Callithrix jacchus: one gene and its partners. The protein of the gene in region 4 interacts with the protein of the main gene of each other region in a pairwise test. Links are inferred from orthologs where the notes say so. Each region holds a gene or a part of one and is shown on either strand. Other genes may lie near its edges.

The links.
Region 1: the proteins of NDEL1 (region 4) and MRC2 interact in a two-hybrid assay, tested with the Homo sapiens proteins (2 studies listed by BioGRID and IntAct). The link is inferred for Callithrix jacchus from reciprocal best matches to the Homo sapiens genes NDEL1 and MRC2.
Region 2: the proteins of NDEL1 (region 4) and PKP2 interact in binary tests that used the Homo sapiens proteins (3 or more experiments, as listed by UniProt). The link is inferred for Callithrix jacchus from reciprocal best matches to the Homo sapiens genes NDEL1 and PKP2.
Region 3: the proteins of NDEL1 (region 4) and DIXDC1 interact in binary tests that used the Homo sapiens proteins (3 or more experiments, as listed by UniProt). The link is inferred for Callithrix jacchus from reciprocal best matches to the Homo sapiens genes NDEL1 and DIXDC1.
Region 5: the proteins of NDEL1 (region 4) and CCDC88A interact in a two-hybrid assay, tested with the Homo sapiens proteins (2 studies listed by BioGRID and IntAct). The link is inferred for Callithrix jacchus from reciprocal best matches to the Homo sapiens genes NDEL1 and CCDC88A.
Region 6: the proteins of NDEL1 (region 4) and KALRN interact in a two-hybrid assay, tested with the Homo sapiens proteins (2 studies listed by BioGRID and IntAct). The link is inferred for Callithrix jacchus from reciprocal best matches to the Homo sapiens genes NDEL1 and KALRN.
Region 7: the proteins of NDEL1 (region 4) and CCSER1 interact in binary tests that used the Homo sapiens proteins (3 or more experiments, as listed by UniProt). The link is inferred for Callithrix jacchus from reciprocal best matches to the Homo sapiens genes NDEL1 and CCSER1.

What each region holds. Positions count from the first base shown.
Region 1 is NC_133506.1:87,931,341-87,934,382, forward strand, and holds the end of MRC2 (C-type mannose receptor 2), read left to right. Parts: intron 1-113; coding exon 114-293; intron 294-1,072; coding exon 1,073-1,099; intron 1,100-1,190; coding exon 1,191-1,411; 3' UTR 1,412-2,542; downstream 2,543-3,042. UniProt on the Homo sapiens protein: May play a role as endocytotic lectin receptor displaying calcium-dependent lectin activity. Internalizes glycosylated ligands from the extracellular space for release in an endosomal compartment via clathrin-mediated endocytosis.
Region 2 is NC_133510.1:38,672,468-38,675,967, forward strand, and holds part of PKP2 (plakophilin-2), read left to right. Parts: intron 1-3,038; coding exon 3,039-3,228; intron 3,229-3,500. UniProt on the Homo sapiens protein: A component of desmosome cell-cell junctions which are required for positive regulation of cellular adhesion.
Region 3 is NC_133511.1:11,701,484-11,704,983, reverse strand, and holds part of DIXDC1 (dixin), read right to left. Parts: intron 3,165-3,500; coding exon 3,114-3,164; intron 1,075-3,113; coding exon 970-1,074; intron 535-969; coding exon 481-534; intron 1-480. UniProt on the Homo sapiens protein: Positive effector of the Wnt signaling pathway; activates WNT3A signaling via DVL2. Regulates JNK activation by AXIN1 and DVL2.
Region 4 is NC_133506.1:74,969,451-74,972,950, reverse strand, and holds part of NDEL1 (nuclear distribution protein nudE-like 1), read right to left. Parts: intron 3,290-3,500; coding exon 3,141-3,289; intron 1-3,140. UniProt on the Homo sapiens protein: Required for organization of the cellular microtubule array and microtubule anchoring at the centrosome. May regulate microtubule organization at least in part by targeting the microtubule severing protein KATNA1 to the centrosome.
Region 5 is NC_133515.1:58,860,151-58,863,650, reverse strand, and holds part of CCDC88A (girdin), read right to left. Parts: intron 1,772-3,500; coding exon 1,607-1,771; intron 1-1,606. UniProt on the Homo sapiens protein: Bifunctional modulator of guanine nucleotide-binding proteins (G proteins). Acts as a non-receptor guanine nucleotide exchange factor which binds to and activates guanine nucleotide-binding protein G(i) alpha subunits.
Region 6 is NC_133516.1:78,975,298-78,979,459, forward strand, and holds the start of KALRN (kalirin), read right to left. Parts: upstream 2,801-4,162; 5' UTR 2,670-2,800; coding exon of another isoform or gene 2,603-2,669; intron 1-2,602. UniProt on the Homo sapiens protein: Promotes the exchange of GDP by GTP. Activates specific Rho GTPase family members, thereby inducing various signaling mechanisms that regulate neuronal shape, growth, and plasticity, through their effects on the actin cytoskeleton.
Region 7 is NC_133504.1:107,412,866-107,417,111, reverse strand, and holds the start of CCSER1 (serine-rich coiled-coil domain-containing protein 1), read left to right. Parts: upstream 1-1,446; 5' UTR 1,447-1,738; intron 1,739-4,246.

The DNA of each region.
Region 1 (3,042 bases), about 13 Mb from region 4:
TTGCCCTGGGGCTTGCGGAGGGAAGAGGGAGTCAGTTCTAGAGCACACCTGCTCTCCACCACCCATTCCTGCCACACCTTGTCCCTGCTCCCTCAGCACCTCCTTTCCCGCAGGAGGCACCCTGGTCTGGCAGGACAACACAGCTGTGAACTACTCCAACTGGGGCCCCCCTGGCCTGGGCCCCAGCATGCTGAGCCACAACAGCTGCTACTGGATCCAGAGCAACAGTGGGCTGTGGCGCCCTGGCGCTTGCACCAACATCACCATGGGTGTCATCTGCAAACTCCCTCGAGGTGAGCGCCAGGCAGCCCACACTTAATCTCCTTCCACCCCGTGCAGCTGGTCCTGGGCTGGGGCTGGGGGCTGCTTCACAATCTGCAGGGGACATAGACAGTGGGAAGGCCTGAACAGACCGGACCGGGGGCAGCTGGGACCTGTGGGATAAATTAGTCTGTGGGACAGACTGGCCCTGAAACTTACCATCCAAACTAGACCACAGAGCCCAGGGGTCAGCAACCCCCTGTCACTTTGTAGTGGTCAATGTCATGGATGGAGTTCAAGTCCTGGCCACACCACTTATCAACGGTGTGACTTTGGGCAGATTCTGTGGCCTTAGTTTCCTCATATGTAAAATGGGAATAATAGTCCTGGGCCAGGCGTGGTGGCTCACACCTGTAATTCCAGCACTTTGGGAGGCTGAGGTAGGTGGATCACTTGAGGTCAGGAGTTCAAGACCAGCCTGGCCAACATGATGAAACCCCGTCTCCACCAAAAAGTACAAAAATTAGTTGGGCGTGGTAGCAAATGCCTGTAGTCCCAGCTACTTGAGAGGCTGAGGCATGAGAATCACTTGAAACCTGGAGGCAGAGGCTGTGATGAGCCGAGATCGCACCACTGTACTCCAGCCTGGGCAACAGAGCGAGACCCTGTCTCAAAAAAGTCCCGACCTCCTAGCGTGCTAGTGAAAATGAGGTAAGTTAGGGGCTGAGACCCAGGCAGTGCTTTGTATGTTTGCTGAAGTGATTATTACGGTGCACTGCTGTTATTAACTGGCCCCTCCTCTTGCCCACAGCTCAGCAAAACAGCTTCTCCCCGTCAGGTGAGTCAAAGGCAATGCTCCCAGGTGGGCAGGCTGGAAGCACTGCTGGGCCTAACGCCGGCCTGGACCTTAATGCCACTCACCTTGGCAGCGCTTCCAGAGAACCCGGCGGCCCTGGTGGTAGTGTTGATGGCGGTGCTGCTGCTCCTGGCCTTGGTGACCGCAGCTCTCATCCTCTACCGGCGGCGCCAGAGCAGCGAGCGTGGGTCCTTTGAGGGGGCCCGCTACAGCCGCAGCAGCTCCAGCCCGGCCGAGGCCACTGAGAAGAATATCCTGGTGTCCGACATGGAAATGAATGAGCAGCAAGAATAGAGCCAGGGGCGTGGGCAGGGCCAGGGTGGGAGGAGCTGGGGAGCTGGGACCCTCAGTCGGCCGGGCCCCCCACCAGCTACCCGTCCAGTTGGCCTATGAAAGGGTGCCCTTAGTAGTCCCTGTTGGGAGCTGGGCAGGGCCTGGGCTGGTGGGGTGCCACCCTCCCACAACGGCTCAGCTGAAACTCAGCTGAGTGCAGCGTGGCGTTTCCTTTCTTGGGGGCCTGAGATCTTGTCACCTGGGCCTGAGCCCCACAGTAACCAGAGGTAGGATGGGAGGGGGAATGAGAGCCTCTTTGTCCCCATACCCCTGGCCCAGGCCTGTTGACCGTGCCCCAGGACCCCTTCTTTGCAGAGCCTGAGGAGCCTCCCCTGTCCCCTCGGGCAGCTCTGTCGCCTCTCTCTTCCCACCTGGCAGCCTCAGCAGCTCTGCGTCCCTCACCCTGCTCCCTCTCACCCCTTCTCCCCACCCCTTCCTTCTGAGCTGGGCCCTGGGGGTTGGGGAGCCCTCTTGTTCCTGGTGAGGGTCAGTTGAGGGGGCTGAGCATCCATCACTCTTGTGACTGCTGAGGTGGCCATGAGGACTGGCAGGAGAGTGGGGCCTGGTAGGTGGGTCAGACCTGAGAATCAGGGCACAGGTGTGCTATCTGCTGGGCTGGAGACAAGACTGGGGAGATACCCCAACCTCCCAGGTGGCAGCTGGGCTGGGCTGGGGTGTCATTTCCTGACGAGTGGGGGAGGGCTCTGCCCCTGAGAGTCCCCCGTGGGGACCAGAATAAGTTCCCTAATGTTTCCAGCTCCTGGCTCTGGTTTGGAGCAAGAGAGGGGTTGCCAGAGTCCTGGGGCCCCCAGAGGAGCGGGAGCACTGGATGACCCCGAGTTCCCACCTTCTAGTGGAGCCAGGAGGAGCAGCACCCGAGCCCTGGAGCGCCCCAGTGCCCTGCCAAGAGGCGCAGTCCCAGCCAGGACGAAGCATGCGGCCTCTCCTGGTGCAGCAGCGTGGGACAGTGTGAACAGACTCGAAGACAATGGCCCTTTCTCTGTAGTTGATTTTTTCAATGTGCCATTATTGGTTTTTTTTTTAAAGGAAAAAAGAAAGCAAACAAATAAAACACCTTTAAGAGGCTTGAAAGAGGTTCTGCCTTGTCCTGTTGTGAGCCTGGTTCTTAACACCCGTCCCTTCAGCAGTAACTGTCCTTTGGAGCTGGCACCACAGGTGTTTTCTGCACCCGGCCATTTTGCTTCTGTCTCTGGGCCTCTAGGGGGCACTCTCACCCTGGATCTTCTTCAGGAGCTCACCCCTCTGGGCCTGCGCTTCCCTTTCTCTATTCTCGTCCCTTCCTGGGGGCTTGAATGTGGATGAGAACTCAGGAGCCAGGCCATCTGCTGCTGAGCAGCTGGGCAAACTTGAGCAACTTAGCTCACCCTTCAAGCCATGTACAGTGGGGAGAACCAGACCCACCTCCTAGGGTATCTGAGGATCAAGGAGATCATCTGTGCAGAGCACTCAGAACAGTGCCTCTGGGATCCTTCGTGCTGGCATGACTGCTGTTTCTGGGCTGCCGCTCCAGGGGAGTGCTTGATGTGTCTGGGCCGGCACTGGGTGGGGGCTCCACATCACCATCCTTCCAA
Region 2 (3,500 bases), on a different chromosome or scaffold from region 4:
AGTAAGATAATTGGCTTCAAGGAACCCACAGCCTCATTTGAAGTTGAAACAGTCACACAATTCATTACAATCCTGTATCATAGGGAGAGAAATGTGTTTAAAGATGCCACATGAATGCAGATGAAGGCACACAATAAAATCAGTCAGTTTTTGTTTATCCCTGATAAACACAACATGTATTCGGGAGCTGTGGGGATCAGCAAAAGCAAAAGATGCATGCTCTCTGTCTTTTAAGAAGACTCTAAAGTGGTTAGAGAAATAAGAGGAAAACATACATGAAATAACTATTACAAAATTTAAGTACAAGTTCACATTGACATGTATCATAGGACAAGTTCTAGTGGACTTTTCAAATATTAATACCTTTTTAAATTTTTCAATAGTTTTTTGGGTACAGGTGGTGCTCATTACATGGATAAATTATTTAGTGATGTTTTCTGAGATTTTGGTGCACCTGTCACCTGAGCAGTATACACTGTACCCAATGTGTAGTCTTTTATCCCCCACCCCCTTTCTACCCTTTCTCCCAAGGCCCCAAATCCATTATATCACTCTTATCCGCTGCCACTTATAAGTGAGAACATACAATATTTTCTTTTCCATTCCTGAGTTATTTCACTTAGAATAGCAGTCTCTAGTTCCATCCAATTTGCTGCACAAGCCATTATTGCTTGCTTTTTAATGGCTGAGTAGTATTCCATGGTGTATATATACCACATTTTCTTGACCCATTTGTTGGTTGATGGGCATTTACGTTGATTCCATATTTTGCAGTTGTGAATTGTGCTGCTATAGACATGCATGTGCAAGTGTCTTTTTCATGCAATGACATCTTTTCCTTTGGGCAGATACCCAGTAGGGGGACTGCTGGATCAAATGGTAGTTCTACTTTTAGTTCTTTAAGGAATTTCCATACTGTTTTCCATAGTGGTTGTACTAGTTTTCATTCCCACCAGCAGTGTAGAAGAGTTCCCTTTTCATTACATCCATGCTAACATCTGTTGTGTTTTGATTTTTAAATTATGGTCATTCTTGCAGGAGTAAGGTGGTATCTCATTGTGCTTTTAATTTGCATTTCCATGATAATTAGTAATGATGAGCATTTTTTTCATTTGTTTGAAGCATATCAAAAAATTTTCATATGCCATTTCTATATCTTCTATTGAGAATTGTCTCTTCATGTCCTTAGGCCACTTTTTTGATGGAATTATTTTTTTTCTTGCTGATTTGTTTGAGTTCTTTGTAGATTCCGGATATTAGTCCTTTGTCGAAAGCAGTTTGCAAATATCTTCTCCCATCTGTCTGTTAACTCCGTTGATTATTTATTTTGCTGTGCAGGAGCTTTTTAATTTAATTAGGTCCCATTTACTTATTTTTGGTTTTGTTGCATTTGCTTTTATGTTCTTGGTCATGAACTCTTTGCCTAAGCCAACGTCTACAAGAGATTTTCCAGTGTTACCTTCTAGCATTTTTATGGTTTCAGGACTCAGATTTAAGTCTTTAATCCATCTTGAATAGATTTTTGTATAAAGTGAGAGATGAGGATCCAGCTTCATTCTTTTACATGTGGCTTGCCAGTTATTCCAGCACCATTTGTTGAATGTCCTTTCCACACTTTATGTTTCTGTTTGCTTTGTCAAAGATCAGTTGGCTCTAAGTATTTGGCTTTATTTCTGGCTTCTCTATTCTGTTCCATTGGTCTATGTGTCTTTTTCATTTTCTATAGCCTAATTATGGAAGTGATGTATCTACTTTTTTAATACTTGTTAGTACAAAAAAAAAAGCCAAACTCAAACTTATAACCTAGAAGTTATATACATAGTAGAAATGTACATTTAAAATAATTTATTTCTCTTTTTAAAATAGTAGTATTATTTATGTATTGAAAAAAACTTGGAAAGCACAGTTTGTTTATTTATTTATGTTTTTTAAATAGAGAAAGGGTCTCATTATATTTTCCAGACTGGTCTCAAATTCGTGGGCTTAAGTGCTCCTCCTGGCTCGGCCGTCCAAAGTGCTGGGATTACAGACATGAGCTACTGTGCCTGGCCCTAGTTCACTATTAATACTGTTATAGAAAAATAGCTCCTATTAACGTTTTTCCTCAGGTTTCTTATGTAGTGTTTCTTTTTTCTTTTCTTTTCTTTTCTTTCTTTTTTTTTTTTTTTTTTTTTTTTGGTGATATTATAGTTTTTGGTTGGTTGCTTGGTTTTTGGAGACAGGGTCTCTCTGTTACACAGGCTGGAGTATAGTGGTATGATCTCTGCCCACTGCAGCCTCTGCCTCCCAGTTCAAGTGATTCTTGTGCATCAGCCTCCTGAGTAGCTGGGACTACAGGCACAGGCATACGCCACTACACCTGGCTAATTTTTGTATTTTTAGTAGAGACGAGGTTTCACCATGTTGGCCAGGCTGGTCTTGAACTCCTGACCTTAAGTGATCCATCTGCGTTGGCCTCCCAAAGTGCTTGGATTACAGGTGTGCGCCACCACGCCTGACCAATAATATTATGTATTCTTTATATAAATAAGTATACTGATTTTTCACATATGCTATTAATGTAATTATTTTCTTGTTATTATACATGCTTCATAGATATGTGTTGTAATGAATAATAGTCTTTGCAGGTGTGTTTTAGTTAATCATATTCCTATTCTTAGGATATTGAGGCTTTTTAGTTTTTCATTTACATGTAGTACTGTCATAACGCTCTCTGTAGAAAGTGTTTTTCATTTTCAAAGTAATATCTTTTAAGATGTATTCCTACACATGGAATTACTGAATTGAGGAAGGTGAAATGTTTTTAAGTTCCTGACCTTTCTGCCAAATTACATTCTGAAAAGATTTTCCAGGTGCTGAGCACAGAATATCCTCTTCTCAAACAGTTTTAAAAATTTGTTATTAGGGAAGTTAATCTTTCCATGTGTTGTTAACCAGCTGTGTTTCTTTTTAAGAATGTTCTTTACCAAAAACATATTGGGATCTTGGGATTAAGAAACAACCTTTTTAATCAAGCGTTCTTTTTTTTCATTTTGTAGCCAAAGAAACTCTCCCCGATTTGGTTTCCATCATTCCTGACACAGTCCCGAGTACTGACCTTCTCATTGAAACTACAGCCTCTGCCTGTTACACATTGAACAACATAATCCAAAACAGTTACCAGAATGCACGGGACCTTCTAAACACTGGGGGCATCCAGAAAATTATGACCATCAGTGCAGGCGATGCGTAAGTCTGTCAGCTGCCTCCCTGTTCCCTCACCACCCTGAATGTAAATAACCCAGTTGTGAAGGTGCAGTCATCAGCATCATGTGCAACATGGCAGCAAACAGGATGTAAAGCCAGATAATCTGGTCAGCCCTCAGTGATCAGCCAAAAGAAGAACCGAATCCATCACGCCACATGCTTGTCCCTTTTCTTCTCAAGTATCACGAGAGGGTCAAACTCCAGAGCCTCTCTTGGTAGTGTATTGTATTGGCCTAATGAATAAGTTTCCCAGA
Region 3 (3,500 bases), on a different chromosome or scaffold from region 4:
GAGCTTTCAGATGAATGGCAAAACCAGGAACACTGAAAAGTTCACCCTCTGCAAAATAATTTCCACTCAAGTAAAGTAGAGTCTTAGGGAAAAAAAGTCCTTTCCTTAAAATGTACCAGGAAGACTTTACACACCATAATAGTCTTACACAGTGCAAAGGATTCCTCAATAGAAATGAGGAAGGGAACTACCATTTGTAGGAGGACCGCTCTGAGCCATTCATACTAGTCAGAGATAAAGGTAAGACTAGAACTGAAGTTTCCAGACCCCTGATTCTGTGCTCCCTTTCCTAGCTGTGCCATTTATTCTTTAGGGCTATCAGGAGACACAAAAAAATACTTCCTTCTAAAAAGCAAGGATGAAAAAAATAATTAAAAGGCAAGGATGAGACTAGAATACTTAAGTGCTTTTTGAGCAACAATAACGGGCTGTTCATGAAAGGTCAGTGGAAGTCATTTCCAACCTGAAATTCATTCTTACTTTATATTCTCCCAACAGCCGGTTCCTCTCATCTAGCTTCCTCTGCAGATCCACCTGCAAGGATAGGAAAGAATTCACGGCACGGAGGTATTGTCTGCTAACCCTCAAGGAAACCAGCTACTTAGTTTAACCACAGTTAATGTGGGCAGTTACAGTACGTAGCACAGACAGGGCATGGTGGTAAAAATACACAGCTGCTCTCCACATTTGTAGTGAAATAATTGGACTGCAAAACCACAATTTTGCCTCTGTATCTCAGTGTCCTCAAAGTTGAAGAGGATATCAAGGATCTTCCTGCCCAGTATGATGTGTGCTTTCACCTAGGAACAGAGATGAGTCTAGCAGGGAATAAAAATAACTGTAGACATTTAGGGTAGACATCCCAGGAGCAAGAAAAGAGATTAGGATGGCCGATCTAATAGCACTTGAAGCAGCGACCTGTTCTGCTAATGGGGCTCACTGAGGCCAACGCTCATTCATTTAACTCACGTTCTGGTTGTGCAGCTCATCTTTGTCCATATTTGCCCTCAGTAGTTCCTGTTTGAGCTGAAGAACAGATGTGTCCTGCTGAGTCAATCTCTGCTGCAAGGCATCCTATGGGAAAAAGCATATTAATTGTTGTTGTCTCAATTCATCAATCAGCCAGTTACTGCTAAAAATTACTAAACACTGTAATGTGTTTCCAGCATTCATGACGGCAGACTGGAAGACAAATGGAGTAAAAGGGTCTTGCCACAAGTTGCTGAGCAGGGTTTTTTCTGTCCCCCTCTAGGAAACTAGCATCCAGAGCAAAATCCTAACCACCATTCTATGAAACTTACTGAAACCTGATTTTTTCTCTTCTTAATAGCATTAGGCCTTCTTTCCCTCAGCTTGAACTCTCTTGGTTCCTATCACGCCTAACAAAAGATGAGCTGGATATGCTTACTTATAAGGACAGTTATGACAAATTCCATCGACCATGGTGGCTTCAAGTGGAACTAATGGACTAGGACTGCATTCTAATAACACTTGTCCTGACTTTTCTCTCTTTACAGATTGCGAAGAAATGGTACAGACTCTGAAGAATGTGGGAGCCCGTTCTTAATTATGCTCTCTCCCAGGACAGTACACGGTAAAGGTACTAAGATACCCGTAGCATCAGTAGTTTAAAGGAATATTTCCCAAAGTGTGCTCCGTGGGACATTATTGTGCCCCATGGCATTACATGGAAGAAAAGATACTTCTGTGGTTAGTAATTCTAAGTCATTTTTAGGCCAATCTCGTTTTGACAGACCTTTTCAGATCCTTTAATATGTTATTATTCAGTCTTCAAGATTGCAGAGCATGTCTCAAACTTAATCTGACCATGGAACACATTTGTTTTTAGAAGTGTTTCCAAAGTATGAAGCCTACAGAATATACTTTGGAAAATGTTGCTGAGTGATAACTCTAGTCTAGCCCATGAATGGATACATAAGGAAGAGGGGAAAAGCAGCAGCTTAAAAACATCCTCTTCTACTTCCAGGTATTATTCCACAGATATACTCTCGTTTGGGTGAAATAACATAGAGTCAAGGCTGTTAGATCATTGTTTATATTAGCAAAAGATTGGAAATTATCGTATATAATAAATCATTCAACATTATGTACGTATACAGTGAAATACTATGCAGCCATAAAAAAGACCTAGGAAAGTCTTTATGTATTACTGACATAGAATGAGCTCAAAGATACACTACTAAGTGAAAAAAAGCAAGGTATCAAGTTATATTTATAGTATACAACCATTAGAGTAAAACCATGGGGGAAAATGATATACACACCGATGTGCTCATAACTGTTAAGATGCCTCTAGGAGGCTGGGTGTGGCGGCTCACATCTGTAATCCCAGCACTTTGGGAGGCTAAGGTGGGTGGATCGCCTGAAGTCAGGAGTTCAAGACCAGCCTGGCTAACATGGTGAAACCCCATCTCTACTCAAAATACAAAAATTAGCCAGGTATAATGGTGAACACCTATAATCCCAGCTACTGGGGAGGCTGAGGCAGGAGAATTGCTTGAACCTGGGAGGTGGAGGTTGCAGTAAGCCAAGATCACGCCACTGCACTCCAGCCTGGGAGACAGAGTGAGACTCTGTCTCTAAAAAAAAAAAAAAAAAAGATGCCTTTAGGAAAGAGAACTAGGTAACCGAGGGGACAGGGCTGGCAGGCAAACTTCATGCATGGTTTATTTTTTTATACCTTTAAATGACTCAAATGTTAGTTAACTACTCAAAAACAAAGTAAATTATAATTTTTTTATTTATTTTATTTTTTTAACTGATCATGTCAAGGGAAATTTCAGTGTTAAGTAAATTATAATTTTTTAAAAGACGTTCTTTCACATTGAAGAGGATTCCTTTACATGTAGAGACAATCAAGGTGGCACACATGGAAATGGCAGCACCATGAGTCATAACTACTAGAAATAAGCCACAGCAAAACAAAGGTATATTCCTCGATATGTCTCACTTCCCTCCCACAAAGCCCTTTCTTTACCAATAGCACAGAGCTATTAAAGGTCCACAGAAAATTCCAACTCTCACCACTCACCAATAGACTACTTTATGTTGCAGAGACTTTATTTAAAGAATTAAACGCCTTCCTTTTTTACCTTTATCCCTTGTAAGTTTCTGGCTTCTTGTTTACATTTCAGCAGCTCCTTCTGCAAACCAAATATAGTTAGATCAGATGGTGACATCTGGGTTGCTTCAGAACGCGTTACCTCATACTGTCGGCAAGAGGACAGAACTCAGTTGATCATTCCATGAAAAATTAACCCTCTACTAAGGCAGAACAGTTCTGGTCCAGTGAGCAGTACAACGGCTGATCCACAGAAACAAGAAGAGAACCATTCCGTTCTTCTCTGTTGGCACCCAGGCTTAACTGCTCAGGTAGAGAAGAGTTGCCAAGAAAGATGATGCCCCATAATTCCCATAGGCTCTCATTTGTATATTTAGCAATCTTCACCAACAGGAAAACCTAATTATAATAATCTAAA
Region 4 (3,500 bases):
TCATTTATCTCGTGACATTTCCTGACCTAGCCAGGCTGGCCCCATCCAAAGAAAACGTTCTTGTCCCTTCCTGACCACTGATGGCACGTAGTGTCTCTATCATTTGGGCAATATATTCAATATATTCCCTTAAATTCCCATCTATTCCATAATGTTCCCTACAGATAGGCTAGTTGTTACGCTATTTATATCTAACACTGTATTTTGAACACAATACAAAATCAAGTTCACACATTTTCAGAAAGAAAACTTTTCAACACTTGTCATGTATATATATATATATATATGAGAGTTTAAAACATTAAGTGCCAAGTCAGGAAACTTAAGGCCAACTCACACTGACTTCGTAGAACTAAATCAAAAGGAAAATCCGAACTTTCCAAACACAATTAAGGAAAGCACCAGAGGCTACTCGTTGTTTTCTGCAACCAATCAGACATTTGCATAGGGTGTTACTTTATAACTTCACTTCAGCCTCTGATTGGTTGCCCTCTGCAACCAATTAACCAATTAATTAGACTGATCACGGGCCACTACTTCATTTGCATGGGGTATACACCAAGTGGCCAATGGAAAACCTCTAGAGAGTATCTGGACACCAAAAGATCCCATAACCAGTGCCCCTGAGCTGCTGCTTGGGCCCGCTCCCACCCTGGGGAGTGTATTTCCATTTTCAATAAACCTCTGCTTTTGTTGCTTCATTCCTTCCTTGCTTTGCTGTGTGTTTTGTACAAATCTTTGTTCAAAATGTCAAGAACCTGAATGACTTGCAGTCAAGACCCTCCACCAGTAACTGTCCCACTCCATTTACCTCCCACCAACCCTTTTCTTCCTGGACTTCTCAGACACTCATTCAACATTAACATGCACCTATTCTATGTCTCACACTATGTGCAATCTGCTATAGAAATAAAATTCCTTCACCTCAAGTTGGAATTTAAAGCCACATCTAATTTTATCAATTCCTACCAATTGCCAAAATGTCTCTCATATCCATTTCTTCTTCAACCTTCTGTCCCAACCTCCTCCAATCTTCTGCCTGAATGCTTCATTCACCACCTGGATACTCCTAAATGGTCTTCACATCTCCTGTCTACTTCCAATTCCTCATTACTATCTTCTCCAATCAAAATCTGATATTACTCCTTTGTTTAAAAAACAAAATTAATGAGTTCTCCATTGCCTAGACAGTGACTTTCAAACATAGCCTACTAGGTTGTTCACAGTCTGGCCCCAACCACCTTCCAGGCTCATCTCCTTCAGCCACGCTATCACTATACACATCAATCAATGTGAAATATGGGCGAGGGGCAGTGGCTCACACCTGTAATCCCAGCACTTTGAGGCCGAGGTGGGCAAATCACTTGAGGTCTGGAGTTCGAGACCAGCTTGACCAACATGGCAAAACCCCATCTCTACCAAAAATACAAAAATTAGCCAGGCAGAGTGGCACACACCTGTAAACCCAGCTACTAGGGAGGCTGAGGCATGAGAATCGCTTGAACCCAGTGGGCAGAGGTTGCAGTGAGTGCAAGCGGAGCCACTACACTCCATCCTGGGCAACAGAGCACAACTCCCATCTCAGGAAAAAAAAAAAAAAAAAAAAGGTCAAATATGAATACCTCAAGCACTTTCCTGCCTTTCTGCCTTTGCACCCAGTTAACGTATACTCTTCCTTGCAGACTCAGCAATGGCTTCTCAAATTCCCCCAGGTGCTCTGGCTGTTGCCTCCTCTATGCCCTTGAGCAGTTTGCCCACTTCTTTTTACTAGGCTATTAACACAGTGAATGTACCTATGTGTCACCCCCAAGGTTAGTGACCTGACTAGCTCTGCATCTGTACATTTAACATCACATCAGTAACTTAAGACTCACTGCATAAATAGGAAGAAAATACCAGGAAACAACTATAAAGTAATAGGAACTAAGTTTGGAATGATTAAGAAAAGTGGCCGGGCACGGTGGCTCACGCCTATAATCCCAGCACTTTGGGAGGCCAAGGCGGGTGGATCATGAGGTCAAGAGATCGAGACCATCCTGGTCAACAATGTGAAACCCCGTCTCTACTAAAAATACAAAAATTAGCTGGGCATGGTGGTGCGCGCCTGTAGTCCCAGCTACTCGGGAGGCTGAGGCAGGAGAATTGCTTGAACCCACAAGGCGGAGGTTGCAGTGAGCCGAGATCGTGCCATTGCACTCCAGTTTGGGTAACAACAGCGAAACTCCGTCTCAAAAAAAAAAAAAAAGAAACAAATAATAACAGATGCATGAAAGTCTGGCAAGAGTAATAGCAAGCCACTGTAGGCTGCTCAGAAAATTTGAACTGAATCAACATTTTAAGAAAATTCATCAGTCAGTATTAAAACATGAGAAGAAAAAGAATAGAAATATAAGATAGATCAGCTAGAAGATAACTACAGAAAGCAGGTATAAGATGTGAGGACCTACAGGAAGTACGGAAGTGTTAAGAACACCGACAGAAGATGGAGGAAGGCATGAGACAGTTTAGAAAAAAACAACCCAGGCCAGGTGCAGTGGCTCACGCCTGTAATCCCAACACTTGGAGAGGCCGAGGCAGGCAGATCACTTGATGCCGGAATTCAAGACCACCCTGGCCAACATAGCAAAACCCCGTCTCTACTGAAAATACAAAAATTAGCCAGGTGTGGTGGTGCACACCTATAATCATAGCTACTTAAAAGGCTGAGGCACAAGAATTGCTTGAACCTGGGAGGCAGAGGTGTCAGTGAGTCGAGATCATGCCACTTTTTAGGGCAACTATTATTGCCCTAAAAAGAAAAATTAGAGTACATGAATTAAATAAATAACACACTCTATACATGCACTCCAGCCTGGGTGACAGAGTAAGACCCTATCTCAAAAAAAAAAAACAAAAACAAAACCAGTAAGATCAACAATGGCATATGAAGGAAAAAAGAAAAATTGAAAGAGAAAAGCTGTGAAGGGCATTATCTGGGAGATGAGAATTTGGGGTTCTTTTCCGTATGATGAGTTACAGGTGACATGAAAAACCAAAAGGGAATGTTCTGGGACTAAGATCTAGGGGAAAAGCCCAATAAAGATTTTAATCACTAATTATCAACTTCATTTTTTTCTAACAAAATGCAGTCATTCGTTTACCTTTTGGCTCGCTCCAGGTCGTCATTGGCCTGCTCCAGCTCTCTCACATACTTATGCAATTGCTCCTTAATGGCTCGAGTCTGACTTAAATCGTCTTCTAACACTGAGACCTGCTTGTAGCTCTGTGCATACTGATGCTCTAGCTTCTCCTAAAGGCATCAGTATAGGAAAGTACATGTCATTAATATACACTCCTCTTTAATAAAGATGTAACTCAAGTTAAAAGAGTGGGGGTAGAACCCAAGGAATTTACCCACACTCTTGTAACAATTATTTTAAAAACAACTAAATCACACATTCATTCTAAGTGCCTAAACTCATGTTAAATTTTGTCAACCATTCTCCTCTCAGAAAGAAACC
Region 5 (3,500 bases), on a different chromosome or scaffold from region 4:
AATAGGCATTTATAAATGGCCAATAAATATGTGAAAGATATGTAATGCCTAACACACAATTTTAAATGTACAAATTATTTTCTCCTATTGCTTTAACAAAAATTAAACACTAGGTAATATCCAGTGTTCATCTGGAAAGACAGGTATACTCTATTAGTGAGACTGAAAATTGACATGATTTTTAGGCTGGGTGTGGTGACTCACACCTGTAATCCCAGTACTTTGGGAGGCTAAGGAGAGCAGATCACTTGAGGCCAGGAGTTGGAGACCAGTCTGGGCAACACAGTGAGACTCCCATCTCTACAAAACATTCAAAAGTCTCCTGGGTGTGGTGGTGTGCACCTGTGCTTCCAGGTACTTGGAAGGCTGAGGTGAGAGGATCACTTGAGCCTAGAACGATGAGGCTCCTGTGAGCTATGATCTCACCACTGCATTCCAGCCTGGGAGACAAGTGAGACCCTGTCTCAGAAAAGGGGAAAAAAAAAAAGAAAAGAAAATTGATGGGATTTTTAAATACTAATAGAAAAATCAATTAAAATTACACACACACACACACACACACACACACGTATATATATCCTTTGGCCTTGCAATTTCACTGTCAGAAATTTAGCATTCTATGAACAAGTTTCAAAATAACCTAAACGTCCAGAAATGTGGGATTTATTTAAGTAAATTATGGTAACATACTACAGAATAATAGGTAGTCATTACACAAAATGAAATATACATACATCTGCTAAAATAGAGAGATCTCCAAGATAACATTAACTGAAAATACAAACAGGAATTTTGTATAGCATGATCCCACAGGTATAAATTTGTCGAAGAAATATACTTTTACATACAGAGAAATGACAAAAACATTTTCTAGGAAGATAAACTGTTTATAGTGATTCTTTTTGAATAAGAAAGTAGTAATCAATGGGTGTGGGGATTAATTTTTGGTTTTAGCTTAGTTTTTTTTAAAAGGTACTATTCTTGTGTTAAATTAAAAAATAGTAACTACCACCACAAATATTTTACTTGTTATTGTGTAAGTTCCTTAAGTTTACTCAACTTATGAAGGGTAAATACTTGTTGTTCAGTTTGTTTGCTTGTTGTTTACTATCAAGTATATATTGAACTAACTTAGCAAATATTTGTTAAGTGTCTAATACCTACCAGGCACTAATCTAGATAGTAAAGATGGTGAAAAAGAAAGACAAATTACCTACTTTCTTAAATGAATACAAAATATAATTTAACTGTGAAAACTGCTATTAAAAAAAACTAAGAAATGGAACAATAGTGAACAGTTTAAGTTGAGGATAACAACTTTACTGGGGGAAGAAGTCAGGGAAGACCTTCTGCAGGGCATATGATATGCTACCCAAATGCTAAGGGAAGCCAGTCATGTGTTTCAGGCAGAAGAAGCAAAAACAAAGTCCCCTGAGGTAGGAATAAATAGAAAAAGGCCTATGTGACTAGAATTTTCTTATTAAGTGTGATGAATTGTTTAAATATTAGAAAATGTATCTAAGATAAATATATCCAAATATATCCAGTTATCCTCTATTTCTAAAAAAAAAAAAAAAGATTCCTACTAAAATTAAAAAATACTTACATTTCTTTCTACTTCAATTAATCTGTCTTTAACTTTCAGAAGTTCTCTAGTCGTTTCTTGACTTTCTCGTTCCCATCTGTTGTCTTCACCAGATGTTGGAGGAGAGCTCTGTACCATCCTTTCCTCATCCTGTCTCTGTTTGAGAGCTTCATAATTTTTTTTCACCTAAAGTTTTATTTAAAATATTTTGATGAGGAGAAAAAAAATCACCACTGTTATATTTCTCACAATTTGACTCTGGGCTGGTCTGATGAATATGAGAGGCAATTTATTTTTAAATGTGATGAATAATATGTATAATTTGTGCTTTTTAAAATGCAAATCTTTCCTCCTAGAAATATAAAGCATACTCTGCTTATGTGGCATGCTCCTACAATGTATTCTGTAATGTCAAATCCTATCGTTTGTAGTGAAAATGCCCCCAGGTAAGTGGATTTAGGTATGTTTCTAATTACTAACAATTCTTTTTACAGCTATCTATAACCAATTTAGAAATTTCACAGAGCTGTCTATGTAAAGCACAAAGATTTGACATATTATTAATTTAATGGATATATCTTATTCGGGATTTTTTAGTTCTCAGTTGGCTCTCTTAAAGTAGATTACCATCACACTAGAAAATCCTGGATAAGCTATATCCTTGGATTGCTATTAACAACTTACTCATCATCCATGACCACATTTGCCAGATTTAACTTAATAACTCTTTCTCTTCGGCTTAAATTTACTGTTGTACTTATATTGAATTATTAAACTATTTTGAGTCACTAGTTTATCCTAGGAGATCCCTAAAATAAATTTCTAATTAACCCTACCTTTGTATTCAGGGAAGAGTAGAAATGTTTTATAATTCAACATCTGATGCACAACTTAAGAAATCCTATGACTCAACAATTAATACTGCCACCACTGAGTTAGAAAACAGTGAAGTGAGACTAAAAAGATGCCAAGACAGAATGTGACATCAAGTTTCGCAAGCAATCTAATGGGTACCCTATGATCCTAGTTTTCTGGGTTTTGTTTTGTTTTTACTTTTAACACCATAACAATAGATGAGTGACACCATTTCTACTCTCTATTTTACATTAATTTCCCACAAGGTCTTTATTCTAGGTTTAGAAAGGCTATAAAAATATGCAGTTATTAAGAAGGGGAGCTGAGAATAAAACTCAAGTCCCTTTCATTTTATTTTTATTTTTTTGAGATGTAGTCTCACTCTGTCACCCAGGCTGGAGTACACTGGTGCAATCCTGGCACTATGCAACCTCTGCCACCCAGATTCAAATCATTCTCCTGCCTCAGTCTCCTGAATAGCTGGGATTACAAGCACCTGCCACCACGCCTGGCTAATTTTCGTACTTTTAGTAGAGATGCGGTTTCACCCTGTTGGCCATGTGGTCTCAAACTCCCGACCTCAAGTGATCTATCCACCTTGGCCTCCCAAAGTGCTGGGATTACAGGCGTCAGCCACTGTGCCCAGCCAAAGGCTTCTCATTTAAAACTCATTGTTCTTTCAATTTTATGTATCATTACTCAAAATCTTAATATTCAGAGAGGAAATGAATATAGAGACTAGATAAAAAATAAGTCATTGTAACAAAGTAATTTAGAGCTAATTTAAAAACTGTCCATTAAAATTTAATTAAAATTTAAAATGTTGTGAATTAGGTTATGAATTCAAATTTTCAACAGTTCCCAAAGATAATGTAATCTTTAAAAATAGAGGTATAATTTTCATCAAGTTGCTAATGTACAGATTTTAAGTGAAATTCAGTAATTTTGAGAACAGCACACACCTATATAACCCATATATCAATATGACAGAACCCTTCCATCACTCTAGCAAGATCACTGTACCAGGCAACTATTGTTTTTCTTTCACAAAAATTCTTCT
Region 6 (4,162 bases), on a different chromosome or scaffold from region 4:
TCATTCCTTCAACAAATATTTATTGAGCATCTTTCATGAGCTAGCTCAGCCTAACACCCCACTGTAAAGCATGCCATTTTCTATTCAATGTTAGGTAACATTCGTTATGAGAAGACAGTTGCTATATCTGAAAATTCTTTTTGAATATGGATGTGGGTATGCACACATGTTTAATACTTTAATACCAATTAACCAGAACTGGGCAACATAATCAACACCCAACCTCCAAACACCTGGAAATCAGACACCCTACTTAATCAAGAGCTACTAATCTAAAACTTCACATTAAGGAAAACACTATAGATTGAAAGACACATAAACTTTCAAATTACAGCCATATGTGGTAATCAAACATGCATGGAAGACCATATAATTCTTGCAACCAGTTTTGCTATCCAAGGGGACAGGTTAATCTATCAGCCCATAAATTCATCAACCTGGCATTTCCAAAATGACTAATGCTATATATACACTAACACCATAAATTTCCCCCAAATTCTATGACATGGGTATTATTATTAATATTCCAATTTTTAAAATTTACAAACTGAGGGTTGGTTAAGTATAGCCCTAGAAAACAATACCCTTTATTTTTTAAGTCCTTACCATTAGCCATTTATTCAAGGGCACTTAGAAGGCAATGGAGCTAAAACTTGAGCCTAAGTTTGATTCATGAATTCAAGCATTTCTAAAAGATAAAAATAAATTTGTAGTATTATAGCTTATACATTAACATCTAGTTTCTTCTTATAATTAGCATCATATGGTCGTGTGAATCTTGTTTTAATTCATGTAAGTATAAATTGTCTCTAAGCCCCTAACCATTCTTAATTGCACTTTTCTTAGTTCCTGGTTATTACATACCACCTGTTCCTGTCTTTCCCGGGATGTTTGTTGGAGAGTGAAAATTAACTGTCTTGGTAATGAAATCTACCATTTAAAGAGTACTTTGTTTGTGCCATACACTGGGATAAGTATTTCACTTATATTTTCTCACTGAGCCCTTACAGCAACCCTCTGAATTGGTACTACTATTATCCTCATCACCTCCTTTTTTCTTATTATACTTTAATTTCTGGGGTAAATGTGCAGATCACACAGGATTGTTACATAGGTATACACATGCCATGGTGGTTTGCTGCATCCATCTCCCATCATCTACATTAGGTATTTGTCCTAATATTATCCCTCCCCAATCCCCCCACCCCCTGCTATCCCTCCCCTAGCTCTCCCACCCCCCACAACAGGCCCCAGTGATCATCACCGCCCCCCCTTTTTTTTTTAAACAAAGGAAGGAAAGCAGGTACAGAGAGGTAAAGCAATTTGCCTGAGGTCACACAGATAAGGAGGATTTACACCTGGTGGTCTCTTCTCCCTTCTCCCAGTCCGTGATCGTCAACAGTATGAAGTTCTGGTTCCCTTCTTAACACCCTCATCTCAAGTCTGGGCTCCCACTGGCCTGTTTCTCCGTGCTAGTGAGAAACTGCTTTTAGTGTGTGCTGGTTTGGTTTCCTCCATCTTTGATTTCTCCCCTGATAAGGGCCGTGGTTCACCTGCTCTTTGCAGCACTCTGCTTTCACCTGGTATTGATCTCCCAGCACACTAAGACTATTCCTGATAGAGATGAATTCACCTTGGTCTGTGTAGCAAGGCTTCCCCAGGGCCATCTTTCCCATCAGGAGTTTGATCTCATTCTTGCCAAAACCTCTTAAAGAAGCCAAAGCTTTTTAAAATAACATTCAACATTTTAAAAAATCAATTACCAAAACAGTTCACAGAACATCTGGATTTGTGTCACATTATCAGGAGACTTTAATTGCATTAATACCTGATGGTAAAATGTATTAAGGTCAGATTAACCTGAGGGATAAAACTGATTTTCTCTTTTCTTTCCACTAACTGCAAATTCTATACCAGCTCTTTCTACAGATAATCAACAAAGGAAGTAACCTTAGGATAGGTGGGTGTTAATAGTTCCATGATGCTAAGAGGTGCGCAGGGAGGAACTCAGCATTTACTAAGCACCTATTGTGTGCACCAGACATGATGCTATATATTTTACATGTATGAATTAAACAATAGCTCCAGAGCAACCCTAGCACATAGGTTTTACCATGCCCATTTTACAGATGGGTAAACAAGCTCAGAAAAATCACGTAAATCAGACTAAAGTCAGTGGCAGAGCTGAGACTTGAGCCTGAGTCTGTTTGCCCCCAGCTTCTGGCTGCAGGAACCATTTCTCCGTCTGCATTGCTTCTTAGAGAGTTCTATCAAAAGCCCTGCAAGAATGGGCTTAACTTGTACTTGACTACAGTACTGAGCTTGATGAGAAACCCATCAAGAAATGAGATCCTCTTATACAGATGCTGCCCCAAATGAACCCTGTGCTCCCAATTCCCAGCTGGGTCATACATGTCCCCAGAAAAATAGTCTTTCTTTACTTTCCATGGGTTTGCTACTTGCCTCTGTTTCATTCCTTCTCTCTCTTCTTGGCTCTCCCCTCCCCTCTCTGTTGTGTCTTTCTGCATGTCTCTTTACGTCTCTGTGTGTATCCATCTCTCTCAGTCTCTCTTTCACACAAGCATACACACACTCAGGATACCTCGATCCAGCAGCCGGAGCAAGCGGAGATACCAGAGATACCACTGGTCCCAGAAGCGGTCCGTCATCCCACCCTGAACTCATCCTTCACAGCCAGTCCCCTCGGCAGAGCCTCATCCCACCACCGCGGACTCGTGGAGGCCGGAATCACTTGACGCTGGGCTAGCACACAGCCTGCTCTAAGCAAATGCCTGCCTGCAAAGACAGCTACAAGTCCTCCCACACAGAGGCTGACTGTGCCGGGAGCCGGTTTCACAGCAACAAAGGAACAAGTGCAGAACAACGCCGTGTGCAGACCGAGCCTGCCTGGACTCAAGGGGAGGTCGGAGATGCGTGGGAGGGAGTCAGGAAGGGCTTTCGCAAAGACGCTAGGTTTGCAGTGGTCTTAAGAATGAAAATCCACAATCAAGTCCATCTCTTAAATTTTATTCCAGTATCTCCTGCCATTCTGGCTTCCATGATTCCCACACCAGAGGCCAGTGGCTCCTCCAATAGAATGTGGGATGGGAAGCCAAAAGCTCAGCCATTTTGGACTTTGAGGCCAGTCCCGAAGCCTGGGAGCCTTACTGCCTCACTGTCGGTCCAAGGGCTCTCTCCTTGCCCGAGACTGTAGGGCCCACATGACCAGAAAAATGCCACAGATCCTTTTTTCCTATGTTCCTTCATGGAACCTCTGTTACAGTAGAGACAGCATGGGCTCTAAAGTCACACAGTCACAGGAGCAAATCCTGGTTGCCACTTAATACTTGCCTGGCCTGAATCAAGTTATTCAGTTCCCTGTGCCTCAGCTTTCTCCTCAGTAAACCAGAGAGAACAGTATTTGTAAGCCTCAAAGCAAAATAAGAATATAATGTTTCTGGTGTTGCACCTGGTAGATAGTGGCAGATAGAAGGTTCTCCCTTACCTCTCAACCCCTCTCCCTCTTGCCAGACTCTCAGTTCCCCATATGTTCATACATCCCATGATTTTCTATTGCCAGGCCTTTGCTCCTGCCCTTCCTGCCAGTAGTATGCTCTCCCCACTCTCTCACCTCATCATGGCCAAATCCTCCTGATTTTTCCAACAAATAACTCAAAATGCCACAGAATCGAGGCAGACTTCCTGATCTTGCTTTATATTTTATTTTTTCATTCCACTTCTCATTTGTATATAACTCTTCTCCCTTACTTGCCCATAAACTCCATGAAGGTAGGATCTGCTTTTTAATCATCTTTGTGTCCCTCAAAGAACCCTGAACTTTGCAATTACTCAAGTGGTTACTAACTGGACAAATGAACATGCAAGGGAGTCTGAGTCTGTTGTTTTCAGGGAAAGGAGAAGAGTAAGCTGCAGAGACCTCAGCCTGGGGGCATTGTCTAAGGGGCTTTGGGGGATGACAGGGTGTCCAGTCCTTACCCTGCTCACAGCCCCTCTTACAGTGGGCCAGTCTGTGACCCATGTGACTGGAAGTGCTGTTCACAGAAATGAAACCTGAGGAGTCCCCAGGTCTAGGACGACCTTGTTCTCCAAGCCTAAAAACTACTCAACAGCCACCTGCACATTCATCACAGCTCTGTGCAGC
Region 7 (4,246 bases), on a different chromosome or scaffold from region 4:
ATCTTGTTGCCTCCTCCATAGCATCCTAAATCTTACCTTCCTTTTTCACATTTATAAAAATAGTTTCCTACAGTTGTCTCCCAAAAGCAGAGTTGTCCCCATGCTATAATATACATTGACCACTCAGATTCATTTAAAAAGTACATCTTGCTTTTATCCCCAATATAACCACATTTCAGAAGTTAGATTATAGCCAGCTAGATTATATAGAGCACACACACACACACACACACACACACAAATGTGTAGATTACTTATTTCCTTAAGTTGTTTCTCAATACCTCATGCACCTGATCACACCTTGTAATCTGGGCAGAAGGTAAGGGAGGCGATGTCAGGTACAAATTTAATATTGGATCTATTTTCTACATAGAAATGGTCCTACATTCTATCAGAATGGGTTAAAAAAAGATACGCACACACACACGGAATTAAATACACTACATTTGCTGTATTGCCTTCTATAGGCATAAATATACAGGAGTGGGGATAAAGAAGGGGATGAATGGGAAAGAGTTCAGAACTCAGTGTTAACCTGAAAGGAAATGAGGCAGTGCAAGGGGAGAGAGGATCAAGGGAAAATAAATTATGTAGGCAACAGAAGCATGCATCAGAAGTCTTTTCGATCCCTAAACTGGCAAATTTTCTCCAGGGGACCATCAGTCAAATGATGTCAAATTGGTAGCTGGTTCTGCTTGTAATGCCTGTATTGTATAGGACCTTCTGTGTAGGAAGACAAGTTCCACTCTCAGACACAGTCGCAGTGCTTCCATTATCTTACAGAATTGATTGCTGCAAATGGTTCCTGGGAGGTGTGACCTGCTTAAAGGAAAGAACCAGGTTTCTTTTCTTCTTACTGAGGAAGGAAGACACTTGTCAACATGTGAATTGGATGGGTGAGAAGGAGAAGCGGAGAAAAAATCTGGTAATTCCTTCTCTTAGAGGAGGAAAAGAAAGAAGGTAGCATTGGAACCTTGGACAGGAGAAATACAGTGCATTTATTTCCAGCATCCCCGCAGTCACTTCGCTTCTCTTTAGACTCCCCCCTATTCTTTAGTCTTGACCTGCCAATGCACTTGGACTCCAGGTAAGCACCGGGATAGACTGGGGGTAAAAGGCCAGGTCAGCGCGGTGGGATACTACGTTCCCTAAAATGAAAACTCAGCAGCGGGCGAGCAGTAGGTGTACGCGCGTCGATGCAAGAGGATGCGTGCGTGAAAGCCGGCGGACGCAGTGGGCCGGGCGCCGCCCTCCCAGCCCACCCCACTCCGCGTTCTATAAAGGCCGCGCTGGGGCCCGCCCTCCTCACAGCCCGGGAGCGCGGCCTGCCGGGGAGGTGGTTCCAGTGCTCCCCACACAGTCACACTCCGCGCACTCACACACTTGGAAGCGCCTCCCCACGTCCCTCCCCTGCCCTCCTCTTGCTCTGCTCTCTTCTCCCTCACCACAAATAGTCGCCGACCTACTGCCAATCTGCCTCTCTCTCTCTCTCAACATGACTGACTGGGAAGCGCTGGCTCGGGCAGAGCAGCTCCGTTGGCGCAGGCAGGAGGAGCAGGAGGATTATTAAATAACGCAGCTCGACTCTGTGCCACTGAGAGTGGAGAGAAGGAGCCCTACGGCCGAGAAAGGGAGGGAGGGCAGAGGAGGGGGACCAGGAAGGACACCCCGGTGCCCCGAAGACATAAATCCCTGAGTGCCCGGGAGGAGCCTTAACAAGCGGCACGGAGCCCTCAAGGTAGTAACGCCCGTGGTGCCTCAGCGCCCAGCGGGTCGCGCGTCGCGTCGCCGCTGTGCGGGGCTGGCCGCAGGCGGACGTGAGGACGACCGCCTGGCAGGTGACTGCGCCGTGCCGGGGCCGCCCGGGAGCAGCGCGCGCCCAGGCCCGGAGCGCCGGCTGCGGGCCCGGCGTGCTCGGCGCAGAGACCTGGCCTTGCGGGCGGGGTGGGAAGGAGGCGGGCGGGTTCACTCGCTACCGGCCCGCGACCCCCGGTGCGCTGCGTGGCCATTTCCTCCGCGCTTCTGCGTGGTTTGCTTCCTGCGACGGTGGCGGCCGCTCCAGGGCGATGCGGAGCGGTGGCCAACGAGGCGACAGTTGGCGCAGGCTTCTGGTCGCTCCTCTCCCTCGCCACTCACGTCCCGCAGGTAGGGGCGGCCGGCCACTGCTGACGCCCGGGCTGCGGGTGCTGAGGCGGGGACGGCGGCGAAGAGGGGGAAGGGAAGGAGGGGGCGGGGAGCCCGGGTCTCCTGTAGGAACCGCAGTGCCCGGCCGGGTCCGCCTCTTGCCTCCGCCTGCTAGTCCTCTGGCGCTGGTTTCTTGGATTGGAAGCAAGACCCTGCCCAGAGGCAACAGTAACAGCAGCGACTTAGAGTGAACCAATTGCTTTGTGGTGGCGTGTGTGTGTGTGTGTGTGTGTGTGTGTGTTCGCGCGCGCGCGCGCGCGCACGGTCCGGACTAACCAGTAGGTTGGTTCACCTGAGTAGAAAGTCAACCCTGAGCTGAAACCGCATGTGGCCCTCTGGCTGGCCCCTTCGACTTTTGGCTTGTGTCCCAGGGACTCCTACACACGGTGCCAGCAAGGGGTAAGGGTGACGGAGGGTTTTGTGAATGGTGCTTCTCCACCCGTGGAGTTTGAGCCTTCCTGATGTAGAGGAGGAGGTATCCAGAGTGAGAAGAAAGGCTATTTATGGCAAAGAGTTGTGAAATTTCTTGGGGTTTCCTTTAGTGTATCCCCAGCTGCTCTCTTTCTCTCTCTCTCCTCTGTCTGTCTCAGAATTAGAAGCAATTATGCTTCCCCCTCCTCTTGTGGGACCTGGAATATGAAATGAAGTAAAAAAAAAAAAAAAAAAAAAAAAAACCACTTATATTTTTACAGGTAGAAGAAAAATACTTCTTAGAAGTTACATATTCTTTGCTCTTTTATGTTTTTATGTCCTCTACTCCACTCCTCTTACCTTTTGAGGCAGTCAGTAGGACTTACAAGTCAGAAAATACCTACTTGGTTTCAACAGTTTTCATTTCTGAAATCTTTACAGTCGAATACCTTCCTATTGAAATGTAACACATATCCTCCATTCTCTGCCCCCCAAAGGCTATTAAAAATAATGTGTACACGTTTAACGTAAAGGTGTTTTTATTAAAAGCCTCAGGGAGAACAGAGGCATGGACACCTTCGTGGGGGTCAGTTATCACTGGTTCCTTCAAAACCGGTTGTTAAGGGAAGACCTAAAATACTTTGAGTCTAGTCTATAACATAATTTGTTTTGGTTTCTCTGTTTGCTTTGTAACAGGTACATGTTCCAGATATGTAACTTGAAACTTAGAGATGACTTGGGGCAGTGCCTGTCACGGTGCTTATAAAATGAATGTTTTCTCTTAAAAGTAGCAACCTGTACTTTTAGAGGACCGTGACTGGGTTTGATAGGACAGTGTCCTTAATATTTCAAACTGAGATAACTAAGAGCGTGCTAGCACAACGTTTTCAAACATTGAAATTCCATGTTGTAACCACACGTTCAATAGTTTCACTGAAGAAAGAAGTAAATTGGTCAACCTATTGTTAGAGTGACTTGTCTTCATTTAATCAATCATTTTGATCAAACAAACCAACTGTTGTTTGTATTGTTTTTTCAGCGTGAACATAGCTTTCCTTAAGAACTGGTTCATTTGAAAAACAAAGCAGAGTTAAGGATTTGATATTTATATTTTGTTACATTTATATTGATTTGAAATACACTTTAAACACAGAAGCATGTGCGCAGCTTTAAATATTAGGTTAGAACTCAGATGGGGAACCACACTCTGAGGGTTATTACCTCAACTATCCCAAACTATGGGAACATAAATATAATAGGGAACTTAAAAATGTAATTGATGAACTGTATTACTGCAATCATTAAAAGTCCGATTTATGAGTATTTCGTTTTTTGACAGTCAAGAGAATCAGCAGCTGTTTATTATTTTAACGATACATTATTTATACCATCAAATGTTAAATTAGATAAAACTAAAAGTAGAAAATGAAAAATTTATTACATTTTTACCATAATAGTTATTCAACCCTTTATTGCATTTTACTACTCATCATAATGCTCATAATAAAGTGCCTACTGTGTGCAAGGTACTACTGTCTAGGCATTGGAAAGGAACAGGAGATTCCTTGTTCCCTGTCCTTCGGAACTTACTTGCCATGTGGGAGGAATATGATGTTCATGCTTGAACATAGAGTTAACAACCCATAACAAT